Linked DNA regions of Drosophila melanogaster. The protein of the gene in region 1 interacts with the protein of each later gene in a pairwise test. Each region holds a gene or a part of one and is shown in the gene's direction. Other genes may lie near its edges. The genes, in order: Csp and Ptp99A.

Region 1 (7,857 bases):
TTTATTCTTGAAACGTCTTAAGGTCTAACGCGGATCTGGAGCGACATTTGTTTGCTATGCAAGGAAAGGATGTGGTGAATTGAGAAGTGCAAGACCAACTCACGCGGAAATACTTTTGCGGCACAAACACACAATTTTGTATATGTAGGAAGTCGGAGCTCAAGCTCTGCTATTAAAAATAAACATTTAATTAAACTAACATTAAAATCGTCTGTCTAAAGAGTAAACAGCCTCGTTTGAAAGCTGGAGTCCGGTTACCGTCACTTCTTCTCCTCCTCCTCCGCCTCCTCCTCCTCCTCCTCGTCCTCCTCGTTGAACTCGGTTCGCATCTGTTGCAGCGCTCTAAGCTGCTGGCACAGCTGGTTGCCGAACGACTCGACGTAGCGGGGGCTGATCTTGTCCAGCAGCGCGTACGGCGTTTCAAATATCTCCTCCTCCTCGTCGTCGCCTTGCTCTTGTCCGTTGCGAAGCAGTGCAGAGATCCGGCTGTCCTCGTCTATGGTGTCGTACTGGGAGGAGACGATCTTGAAGCCACGACTGCTCACCTGAACGCAGCAAGTGGCGCTCTCGATAGTCCGGATGTTCAGGTAAATTTGCGTGGCATCGCTTGCCAGTTTGGATGAGATGCAAATCTCAGCGACGTGAGCCTTAACATCGTTAATTATGGCGTTGGCTTCGTCCTCGCAGTTGAAGGCCTGCTCCTCCCCAGGGTCTGCGGTGGCTTTCGGTTCGCCCATCCTAACAGAATCGCTTCGGAGCTCTGCGGCTCGCCTTTTAATTGAATCCCAGTCGATCTGATTCCCTTTTACAGGCGCAACATGTCGTTCCACTCTACTCCATATGTGTCACAGCAGCTGTGTGGCGTGTGCCACGCGTTAGTACATTTTGACCGATGAAGCGGAGCAGGGCGTTCCGGCCAAACTGAATATAATCGTTATTAATGATTTTACATGCAATTTAGCTTAGTTTTTGGTTTAATAGAAGTTCGTAAGACGTACCGATATAAAACGGTTGCTGTCGTATCGAAAGTATAAATTACTCCTAAATAATTGAAATTGGAATGGAGGGGTGCATAGTATAGATTATGGATTAAGTCCAAAATTTGTATATAGCCTCTTTTTTACATTCTTTTTACAAAACTGTAAATAATTTTAATTTAATTAAATAATTTAAAAAAAAACGAAATAGACAATTTTTTTTATTTTATTATTAGTTCTTAATATATGCTTCCCTTATTTAACTTTGTAATTGTATAATTAAAAAACTTAATTTAATTTTTAAATAAAAAAATATTAATAAAAAAATATTCTGCGAAATGGGTTGCATCAAAAAAAAAAAAACACGTGCACGACCTTTTCCTTGGGTGTTCCCTTTCACCCTTCATTTCTTAGACAATCTCGCTTCCGCCCATACAAATTTTATGCATACAGAAAATGACCTGCGGCCGATCGTTGCTTGTGAGTCGCTCACCAGAAAAGGTTATTGCGCTCGTAATAAAAAACTGTCGGATATTTTTTATTCCCGCAAGTAGAGTGTCAAAAAACACCCGGCTGCCTAGATACAACAGTGTTTAGCGGGTGCACTTGGAGTGCCAGTGGCTTGCTGCAGTTCTCTGGTGCACACTTTCGATGCGATTTCTTACAGTGAGTCCCGTAACAGCAGCTATTAATGTTGCGATAGATGGCGTGTTAGTCCAGAGCTGGAAATCATTGATGTCGGCAGGTAAACCGATAAGATAGAACATCGGTTCAGTTCCATCTCTAATTTCGTTGCGAAAAAAATAAGAATCGAGGCATCGGTACGGACGTCAAAAACTGCAATTATAAGAGTACACGCACAGATTGTGGTTCTTGGCAGGCACAGACTTTCACTGCGTGTGACAGCGATCGCTAGTGCAAGTTACCCGTTCGCAGTCAAAGTGACACAGGCATCAGGATGAGCGCACCTGGCATGGACAAGAGAAAACTGTCGTAAGTATTTTGTAGTGCTCCTTCATTTTTCCTCCACGGCGCACACACACGCGCCGTCGGCAGAGTACACACACTCAGCCCGTGCGCGAGTGTGAGTAGCAGCTGCGCGCAGGCAGCGCGGTCGGCGCGAAATTGATTTTTCGCGGCAGAAGTTTTCTCGAGCCAGCAGGCACTTTCCTTTCCACGTCGGGATAAACAAGGAACCGGGTCAGGGGTAATAATGGGCTCCGGTAGTGGGAAGGGGAGGGCAGCTGCGGCTGGAGTTTGATTTCGGACAAGCGAATTCGTCCTGGGCAAGGCCAAGGACAAATTTGGCCATTTGACGGAATTCGATTTTTATTTGATTTCAATAATCGTTAGTTAAAATCTTAGTGGCATAGTTTCAACTTATGTTGCATTAGGCAGGAAAATGTAAAAGGTAGAAAAAAGGCTACGCACATCATCGATCAAGACTCGAGCCGATATCATTCAGATATGTGCTATGTAATACATACAGACCATTATTAGAATTACACATTATAACTACACAGTATGAGAATTTCCTCTTCCTTTCTCCTCTTCCTCTTGCATTCTTCTCGGTTGGCCACACCTCTTTTGCCCGCAAATCGCACGATTTCAATTGTTTAATAGAGAAAAAATGAGTCGAATACTTCATTTTATAAATATTGTTCTATTTAAATTGTTCAATGTTTGGGTCTTCGTGCAACACATACCGATTCCGGCATAAGTGCGCGATAACAACAGACCTACAGATCCAATAACACGACAACCAACTAACTAACCAGCCTGGCCGTTATCGGACAGAAAGTTTTACGGCCGCGTTAGCCGTCTCTATAATTGTACCCTATATGAGTAATGCCAGCACTAACCGCTTCAGTTTGGCCCAGGCGAATTCGAGTTGGCTTAGATTGTCATGATGCCTGCCAATGTCCTTGGCCCTGTGCAGTCGCCCACCGCCCAGTGTCCCTGGGGCACGCATCCGCTTGAGCCTGTAATCACCCTCATCATCGTGGTCCTCAACCACTTTGTCGAGCGCTCGCCGCCTTATCAGCTCGCAGATTCTCAGAGCGGGTTTAGGCATACACAGCGTTGCACCCCAACCCCCTTAACTTACCAAGTTTATAAATAGCACCCACCTGCTCAAGAAAATCCATACAGATTGCAATTTATGTTGCACGCGACCCTGCTGCAGAGCCAACAATGCCAGTTGCTTTCGAACTGGACGCCCTCAATGCCAACGCCTAGTCCGTGGGTGCAGGCAAGCCCTGAGGGCCAAGTGCTCGCCCGGATGAGCTCCCATCGCGTGCCACGGCTAACTGTTGCTGCGGTGAGTCATAGTCCAATACTACTTGCGATGGCTGGGCCTTATCGCCCTCTGTCAGAATGTAACATACGCAGCTGAAGGAATGTCGGAGGCACAGTGCAACTGCGCTAGGCAGGTCCACGCAGTGGTTCCTGAGGTCTTACCTGTGCGTGGTTATCAACCTTTAATTCCAAATGCGGAGACGTGGATAGTAATCCTACGCAATACAGAGACCATGTTCACTTGATTTTCATTTATTTAGGACATCTGGCGACTCGCTTTACGAGATCTTAGGACTTCCGAAGACAGCCACCGGAGATGATATTAAAAAGACTTACCGGAAACTCGCACTCAAATACCATCCCGATAAGAACCCGGACAATGTGGATGCGGCTGATAAGGTAAAATATTTCCGAGAAATGGGTCCATGCGTATTAATATATTAATATAATATATAATATAAATATATTAATATATTTGCAGTTCAAGGAAGTCAACCGGGCCCACTCGATATTGAGCGACCAGACGAAGCGCAACATATACGACAACTACGGCTCTTTGGGCTTGTACATAGCCGAGCAGTTTGGCGAGGAGAATGTCAACGCATACTTCGTGGTCACTTCACCGGCTGTAAAGGTCAGGAATCGCGGTATTTCGCATGCCTAGGCACATTAATTAATCTCTGATTCTCCTTGCAGGCGGTGGTTATCTGCTGTGCCGTGATCACTGGATGCTGTTGTTGCTGCTGCTGCTGCTGCTGTTGCAACTTCTGCTGCGGCAAGTTCAAGCCGCCGGTCAACGAGTCGCACGATCAGTATTCACATCTGAATGTGAGTGAAGTTACTTGGCTTAGCCAAGTCCAAATATAATACCCGCCCCAACACAGCCCGCCAATAACTGAAATCATTTTGATTTAGTTAAGAAAAGAGAAAACAAGAAAACCAATCCGGTGCAAAGCTAAAACATTAACTTTAACGCATGCTTCCCATCCACCCACACACTGTACTATTACGAACCTAACAAACCAACTTTGATGATTTTTGTGGGGAGATCTGTATCATTTTTCCTTCTGAGAAGCTAATGTTTAGTCAAAAACGAGCCCCTACATCTGACATCAACGCTTACTTAACAGCTGCCCGAACAATAAACGCCTAACCATTTTTTAGTATAATTTTCCTGGGTTATCAGCTATCTTGGCACACCATCTCCCTCGATTGGTTTTCCCTTACTCACACTACTCCGTACAAACACTACTCTGATTGCACTGCTTTGTAATTAGTTTATTTTGGGTAAGTATGAAGTTTGGTTTTGGTTTCCGATTATCAATTCTCCAGACACTGAAGTAATCAGAATACTGATTTTTGAGACCAGAGGTAAACACGACTAACCCTAAAACTTTTCCGATCCATCGAACAATTTTTGTATAATTTATTGTTAGTGTTTGTTTTGTATATATGTACTTCACGAAAATCATCAAATGCTTCCAACGTTTCTCTCTCCATAAAAAAAATAATAAATAACGTCAACACATACACGCTCGGATTTCTCGAGACAGACAGTGCAACGATTATTGTTTTTTCCACGATTGCTTTTCTTGTTTTTTAAGTGTCCCATTGCGCATACAAATTTATTTTGAAACCACCCAGATTAGAAGTCTTCTTCCTTTGCTAGTTTGCAAGCTAAGGAACAGAAGCTATAGACTTACGTTTCTATTTTTGGTTAACTTCTTTTTTTTTCTCAAAAATCTTTGCGATCGACTCATCATATCCACCACCTACTACCACCCACAACCACCACACATTCGCTCTCGACCTCGCCGTCAGCGCCCCGATGGCAATCGGGAGGGCAACGATATGCCAACGCATCTGGGACAGCCGCCACGCCTTGTAAGTATGCAAATCGAAAATAATACCAGCACGAGTACCGCATGAAAAAGGTGCAAGATCACCTGCGGCCTGCCTACCGCCTCCACCTGGCTCAAGGCACCCACCCACCCACCACCCAAATAACACAAAGCCAATAACCAAATCCGAACTCTACTTAAACGGTAACCAATCGAAATTTATATGTTCCAAGGGAACACGTCTTACTAAGCTAACATTCAGTCGCAAAACTAACTTGATCGAGAGAACAGAGGAAGAGATGACAAAATAAAAAAACGTCGTTTTTTTGAAAGTACTGCTGTAAATACTTGGTAAATGTTTTATGATTTTCTTTCAATGCTGTCATCTGGCTGATTTTAATTTTGTAGTATTTGGCTTGAAGGGTCCTTCTATCCATCAGCACAAGAGTAATGTAGTGGTCGTAACTAAACCGTAGAATAGTGTACATACATGGCTTGTAGGCAGCCCACCGAAAGTTTTTGACTAAACATTGGTTAAGGGACCTTCCCTCCAAGCTCTCAAAACTTGCTGCAGAAACTAAAATACCGGCAGAAATCCTAATCCCACTCTTTTGTGTCCCGCAGGAGGACGTTGACCTAGACGACGTTAACTTGGGTGCGGGCGGAGCCCCCGTTACCTCACAGCCGCGGGAACAGGCCGGAGGACAGCCTGTTTTCGCCATGCCGCCGCCCAGTGGAGCCGTGGGAGTAAACCCCTTCACCGGCGCCCCTGTAGCAGCTAACGAGAATACGTCGCTAAACACAACGGAGCAGACCACTTACACGCCAGGTATATAAGCAATTGGTCCAGAAGTCAACCACACAGCCAGCCTCCGCTAGTTTGGCAATCCGACAAAGCGTCTTTGACCATCGAACTTGTTATTGTGCATATATCGAACAAATATTGTTTCCTTCGGTCGCTGGATAGGTGGCGAAGGCATTCAGTCACCAGTCGACATACCCCGTCCAGCGATCAGATCAACACCCCCTTAGCAGTAAGCTCGTGTATCCGGCAAGGTATTTTTTAGTCACTTTCTGTACATGTCCACGCGAATATGGGATCCATTTACTTAGATCTGCATGCTGAATTACATTACCACACACTGCCCGAGCTGCAGGATGACCAATGAATAGATTGATTGACTCAGCCTTTCGTTCCTTAGGTCTGCGCCAGCCGTACTCAAGTCCCCCATTTTAAAGACCTCCTTTCAAGATTGTTTTCCAAGCTTTCGCAAATTAAATGAAATGAAAATTTTAATTTCCATCCAAGACATATTCAAAGAATGTAGCTTAAGTTTGACGGATTTTAGTTTTATCGTTTCTTATGCAACGCGTACATTTTGATTTCTTTTCACTTATCACTGTCTACTTCTCTCTCCCCCTCTCTTCACTCTAGATATGGTTAATCAAAAATATTAGTCAAGTGCTGCGAGCGAGTCAAGACCCGGGTGCTTGCGTACACCACACATTCAGATACAGACACAGAAAACACAAGCCCCTAAATCGTAACAGAAGAGAAAACCAGATTTATTTCATAATTATTAGTGTTGTTTTTAAAATGCGCGATATGTTGAAGCGAGTAAACATAGAAACCAATGTATTTATTTTAAGCCGTAGCACTTAGCTCTAATTTTAAACTATCGAACTTCGTGGCCGCCCTCCGGTCAGTCAGGTTGATTTTGGTCCACTTCGGGCAATCGATTCACCAATTCCATTGTTCAAGCCATGCATCTAGCCTTGCAGCTGTACCACTATACAACTCGAATCGATAGCCAAGCCGCGAAGCCACCATCTCCACCTATCCAGTCATGCTAATCACCAAAACACCATTCGGTGTTGATGAAATTGTATATCGGAAGTTTGTCTAGACATTTGCTTGGGGATCGGATCCCTTGCGGCTTAGCCCGTGAGTTGGGATTCAGTCGCGAAGAGAGGCACTGTAATTATATATATGTATATGATATGTGTATCTAGTTTGTGGCATTTGTGTCGTCGCTTAGTCTAGCTAATTTGTTCTCGAGATCTCCTCTTCACCGATTGTTTCTGTTATTTTGCACTAAATTGTTAAAGCCAGAACTACTTATGTAAAAAGGATGAATTGTCGAGCGACGCGCCCAGCAGATTGCTCCGATCCGATTCTAATGCAAATGTAAATACGAGTTAAACAATTAAGCATCACACAGTTAAACAGAGGAGGACGAAGAAGAGGACACTTTGAAGGGCGATCCAATTAACGCAAATATAAATTATATAACAGATATTAATAATCCCCTCTATATATAAAACAATTAAATACGAGTAATCAAAAGTTGAATTGTAACCCCCGAAAGTATTGCACATATTTATGTATTCCAAATTGTTTCAAAATTGAATTGAATCTAATTAATTTTTGTTTGATTGTTAACCCGCTTTTAAATGTAAATGAATGCGATTAGTCCAGCAGTAATTAACTTTTATATTGTAGTATCCCATTCTAAATCATTGACATCAATTATTGCCGATCAGCTCCGGGCCAGGATAAAAGTCCTTGGGCGCCTGGGTCTAGGGCCGGGATCCGAGAGTCGCCGGCTCATCTATAGTATAAACACGCATACATATATAAAATTCAATTATTAATAATTACATTTTACGGTCTTGCGTGTGTATTTATTGTTCGTACAAGTCAAAGCAAAAATACTAAGTAAACTAAATTTAAACTTAAC
Region 2 (4,931 bases), on another chromosome or scaffold:
TAGTTGCATCAGGATGTGGCTGGCTGGGGTGGGTACCCTTACTCTCCTTATGGCCATTAAATTGTGGGCAATTGACCGGTTCGAGGGGTGTGGACATCGTTTAGGGGCAGGTGCCTGAGGCACTGGGATAATTGCGGAAGTAACACGCTGATCGGCACAACAAATTATTGCGATGGACTGGCAGTTTTGTCAGATGGCAAATTTAATGCGAAAGAAATCGTGTTCTATGTTCAATTAAATTGACGGTAAATAATACCATTAGAATATATTTAGTTGAAAGATAAAAGATATCTTTTAAAGGACTTTAAATTAAGAAAAAACTAACAAGGCTGTAGGACTATGTAATCCAAACAGTTATTTTACAGACCATGTTATAAATAACATGCCCATGTAATGTTCGCATTAACAGAACATTCAATTCGAATATCTTGTTAACGTTGTTCGAAAATTAAAAGTAGAAAAAGTCTGTAATGTAAACATAACATAGACCAACACAATTTCTCCTTCAACTGCAGGTTCACATCATTTGATTAACCCCGAATGTTATTTATTCCATAGCTATAGGCGTCCTTTTTGCGAATGTTATTAGCAGAATGGTTCGCTTTCTACCCCTTTCCAAATTTAGGACAATAACATTGCACTAACATTCTAGAGTAGACCTCTGTTCCCTAGCCTGTTCAACGCGTTAACAGAACGTTGACTCAGTTCGAATGTAGACCAACAAACTCATGAAAACAACATTCGCGCAGGACCAAGGGGTGATTTTCGAAAATGTTACGGAAACCTTCTTTTGCGGTGGAATTTTCTGTAAACACTCGGTTACAGGACAAGGCAAAAACAACAATTTACTGATTCAGTATTCAGTATTCAGGGGTTATGATTTTGGTCGAAATCTTTTCCAGACATTACAGCGGTTGAAGAGTTCTAACATTACTACAAATGTACTACCAATGTTAAGCATTTTTACTGTTCAAATAACTGGCAACAGTAAAAACGTCCACTGATTGTGAATAACTCCAAAATGTAATGTTATGATTTATTTTATAAGAAATTTAAATCAATAAATTATTATAAATATTTTTCGAATATTGAATATAATCGAAATAAGCGGATTATAAGATTTGGAAAATTAATTGAAGCTTAGCTCCTTTATAAGAGACTTTATATAACATATTATTTAAATTTAAAATTAGTTTTCATCCAAAGAGCTGCTATGTGTGGCCGAAGCTAACTGCGGTCCGTCCAGGACCTCTTTGTAGTGCCTTAGAAATTCCTAAAACACTTGCTGCCAACGTTTCAGTTCTGTTTGTGCCGCAACGCTCGACACCTGAGCGATTTGAGCAGGTCGTGGCCGCCGAAGAGCGCGTCTCTTATCAGTGATAAGGCCAGCGCAATTCGGAGTTTGGTCATGGTGAGTTTCGGAGTTGAAAGTGGAACAAGCGCTCTCCCAATGAGAGAGCGTGAGTCCGTTCGCTCTCGGCAGGACGACAGCCGAGGCGTCCACCCGCGCACAAATCTAGGCAACAGCACACACTGAAGCTCGCAAAGAAGTTCGGGAGACACACACGGTGTGTGTGGTGGAAAGCCGCTGGAAACCCGAAGTCGGCCACGAACCACCGACCTTCTATTCTGGAGGGGTTTTCCGGGGGATGCGGCGGTGGTGCAACGGCAGTGGCAGCGGCAACGGCGGCTTCTGCCTTTCAGCTGGGAATTTATTTGCGCAAAAACGAAGCGGCTCAGTTTCGTGTTTGTTGTGCGCTCGTAAGGATGTGTCCGCTGGCGCTGCCGGACTTCGTGCGTTCGCGTCGCGTGTGTGCGCGTTTATCCTGACGCTGAATGTATCTCAGCCAAAGCGGCCGAAACGGGCCACGAAAAGTGCTTGAAAATCAGGCGAATAGCTCAAGTGAATGCCAGAATAATAATCATGCATATTGATAAAGCGTTGAGAGAAAATCAAAAATAAAATGCGGCAATCGCTGTCCAGTTCCGTGTTAAGTTTTTATTTGTGTTCGTGTGCTTGGATTCGGAAAGCAGGATCCCAATTACCGACGATCTCGAGGATAAACCACTAACTGATAGAAGGTCCTGCGTTGCGGAAAATAAAACACAGCAAAAAGGTGGTTATCCCCAGATTTGGTGACCCACAAGCATAACTAAACGATTCGAAATCGAGGCAACTGGATGAGAACTGGGTGAAAATTCCAAACTCGTCGTCGTACTGCAGCATATTTAGCATTTTGCATTTTGGGGCGGACTTTTGGATTTATGTTGACCCACTTCGCTAAGCGATTTCCCTTTCAATTTGCGTCTTGAAGCGATGTTTTAGCCAACTTATCCCTCGACCATCTCAGTTAATTAGTTTAATTAGTGAGTGTCGTGGGCCCATCGTTGGTTGGTTAGTCGGTCTGTTCTGGCCCAAAAATCGGTTTGGCATCTCGAGCCAAAATTAAGAACCTTTCTGGCGCAAAGTTTTATTTGAAACTGCTGACCCGGGATTCGGTCGGTCATGCCCTGCCGCTAATAGCCGACATTATTGTTAGGATTCGCTGGTAGTGGGAGTTGGGACTTTTCGGGACTGGACCAAACAAAGGGCCATCGGATCGACTGTATGTGCCATTGAACAAACACCAAGCCAAAACGAGTGAAACCCTTTTTGCGCCACTTTTCCTAATGCCACGACTGCCATTTGTTGGGGCAATAAAAGCCAGCCAGCCAGCGACTTCAGTAAAGATGAAATGAAAATGAAATAAAATAAACAACAATGGCTGGGCAAAATTAAACTAAATTTATTTGCTTTGCCACTAAATTTGCGCTGATTTCGGCAGCAGCTTCACTTCACTTCACTCTCGCATTATGTTGCCCCACTCAAAAAATGTGTTTGTCAACAAAGCCAGCGGAGCGCAAAAATGGTCCTTGGTCCTTGGTCGAATCCCCTTGCACCAAAAAGAAAAAAAATCGAGAGTGTTTGTGCTTAACCTTTTGGTGGAGCCGGATTTCTGGCTCGACTGGTGTGGCACACGTTCAACTATTTTGGAATTTGCGGCACGTGCCCAAATTGCAAACATCAGCAAATAATAATATAAATTCAGCCAGCAGTTCGGGCATCCAAACCGAATTAGTCGAGTGTCCTTTTTACAGTAGTGCTTACAAGATGATTAGGCGTGTGGCTGGCATGTGATACATTTAGCTGCTCGTCGTATAATAATTTCATTGTTGCAGCTCTGCAATTTATAATGCGGCAACAATTGCAGTCGCACTTGCAGCAAAGGCGTGCAACTTGTTGTCGCTGGATGCAAGCCCACCCCTTTGTGGCAACACTTGAGCCGCACAGCCACTGCAGTTGCACTTAAGCTTCCACCGCTGCAGTTGTTATTTCTATTTCTATTCTCTCTCTACTTTTGCACACCCATCGTGAGCCGCCGTCTGGCATTATAATCCGCATCTATGTGAGTCGGTGCAAGTGTATACAGAAGCAAGTGCGCGATGTTGTGACCAGTTTTTTTTTTTTGCAGGAAATATACATCTTGATTGTTGAAGTTGAAGCTGACTCGATCTATGTGTTCGAAGTTTGAGTCCTGCAAGGACTTCGGCGACACCTCTGGCCGTGCTAATTAACCAAGTTCCAGCATTTCCATTTAGCTGACTGCTTTTCTTTCATGTCAAAGCATTTAATTATACTCCTACATTTACCCGCTCCCTCTCGTTTCCCGCTTTCCCCACGCTTTTCACTTTTTTCCACCTTTTTTTTTTACTGCTGGACTTTGCCTGATTTATTTATGCATTTACCTTTGCGAGTTGCCCGTGGAGGAAGCTGCTGTCATGCTGCTGGTTCGTTGTCTTAATTCATTTTTTATTCCAACGTAAATAAGCTGTAAATTACAACTTCTGTTGCTCTGCTGTTTCCAGCTGATGTTGCTGTTTTTGCCGCTGCTCCCTGAATATTTTGTATGATTCTACTCCGGCAATTCCCGGGCTGCTTGTTGCCTGCCTCGTGCTGCATGCTGGAAGCCGCATGCCCCGTGTCCCGTGCCTCATGCCAAATGCAGTGCCATATTTTTTCACTCTTCACTGACGCCCCGTCCCTTTTTTTTTTGCATACACAGAGAAAACGGAGTCAGAGCAGCATCTATTTTAATTGTAAATCACAAGCTTTTAGTCATTCAAACAATAAATCAAATATTTTACAATGAACAAAAGAATAAATAATTAGAGGTAATAAGCTGCATATTAGGATGTTGATCTATACAGTTGGGCAATACCAATTATATTTTTATAAATTATCTTTTATAATTCATAATATTCTTATGCATTTTATTATTTTTCCCAATGTGCATAAATCATTGCGAAAGCGGGAAATGGATGTGCATGTGAAGTGGAAACATAATGGCTTTCCTGTTGCTAAAAAAAAGGACATAAACGAGTGATAAAATATGAAAGTTTTATGAGCAATTGTGAACGGCTGATACACTTTAGACACATATCTGTGTAGCATTGATCAATTTGCGTTGCATACTCGTGTTTTCTCGCTGTGCTGGAAGTCACATCCCGCTGCTTTTTGCTGCTGTTTAATTTAAAGTTTGCCACCCAAAAAGGGGAGCAGCATTGCAGTTGGTGGTGGGAATGTGGGGCTGTCATAACTGCAAATCGGCTACTGACATCCAGCTACTTAACGCTCCTCACTGCCTTCCGCTCGCCGTTTGCGTTTGTGTTTGTGTTTGGGGCATGGGGCATGGGGCATGGGGCATGGGCATTCGGGCATGAAAGCGGCTCGGAACTGTCTGCGGACCCAAAGGGGACAACTGCCACTACTACTTCTAATGGTCAAAAAGAACGGGCTGGGCGACGATGGCGCTGCACTGCGTTTGGAATTATGTGGAAAATTGAGAAAATGTTGCTCAACAACACAAGTACAAGCAGAAGTAGAAAGTAGA

The links.
Region 2: the proteins of Csp (region 1) and Ptp99A interact in a two-hybrid assay, tested with the Drosophila melanogaster proteins (one study listed by BioGRID).

What each region holds. Positions count from the first base shown.
Region 1 is NT_037436.4:22,265,818-22,273,674, forward strand, and holds Csp (cysteine string protein), read left to right. Parts: upstream 1-1,564; 5' UTR 1,565-1,935; coding exon 1,936-1,970; intron 1,971-3,535; coding exon 3,536-3,674; intron 3,675-3,756; coding exon 3,757-3,909; intron 3,910-3,971; coding exon 3,972-4,103; intron 4,104-4,114; exon of another isoform or gene 4,115-4,403; intron 4,404-5,096; coding exon 5,097-5,159; intron 5,160-5,740; coding exon 5,741-5,945; coding exon of another isoform or gene 5,946-5,953; exon of another isoform or gene 5,954-6,551; coding exon 6,552-6,574; 3' UTR 6,575-7,481; downstream 7,482-7,857. Other genes in the region: Ddx1 (Dead-box-1), read left to right, coding at 1-28; CG11523 (uncharacterized protein), read right to left, coding at 261-737. UniProt on the Drosophila melanogaster protein: May have an important role in presynaptic function.
Region 2 is NT_033777.3:29,375,908-29,380,838, forward strand, and holds the start of Ptp99A (protein tyrosine phosphatase 99A), read left to right. Parts: upstream 1-1,738; 5' UTR 1,739-2,117; intron 2,118-4,931. UniProt on the Drosophila melanogaster protein: May play a key role in signal transduction and growth control. May have a role in the establishment of the intersegmental and segmental nerves.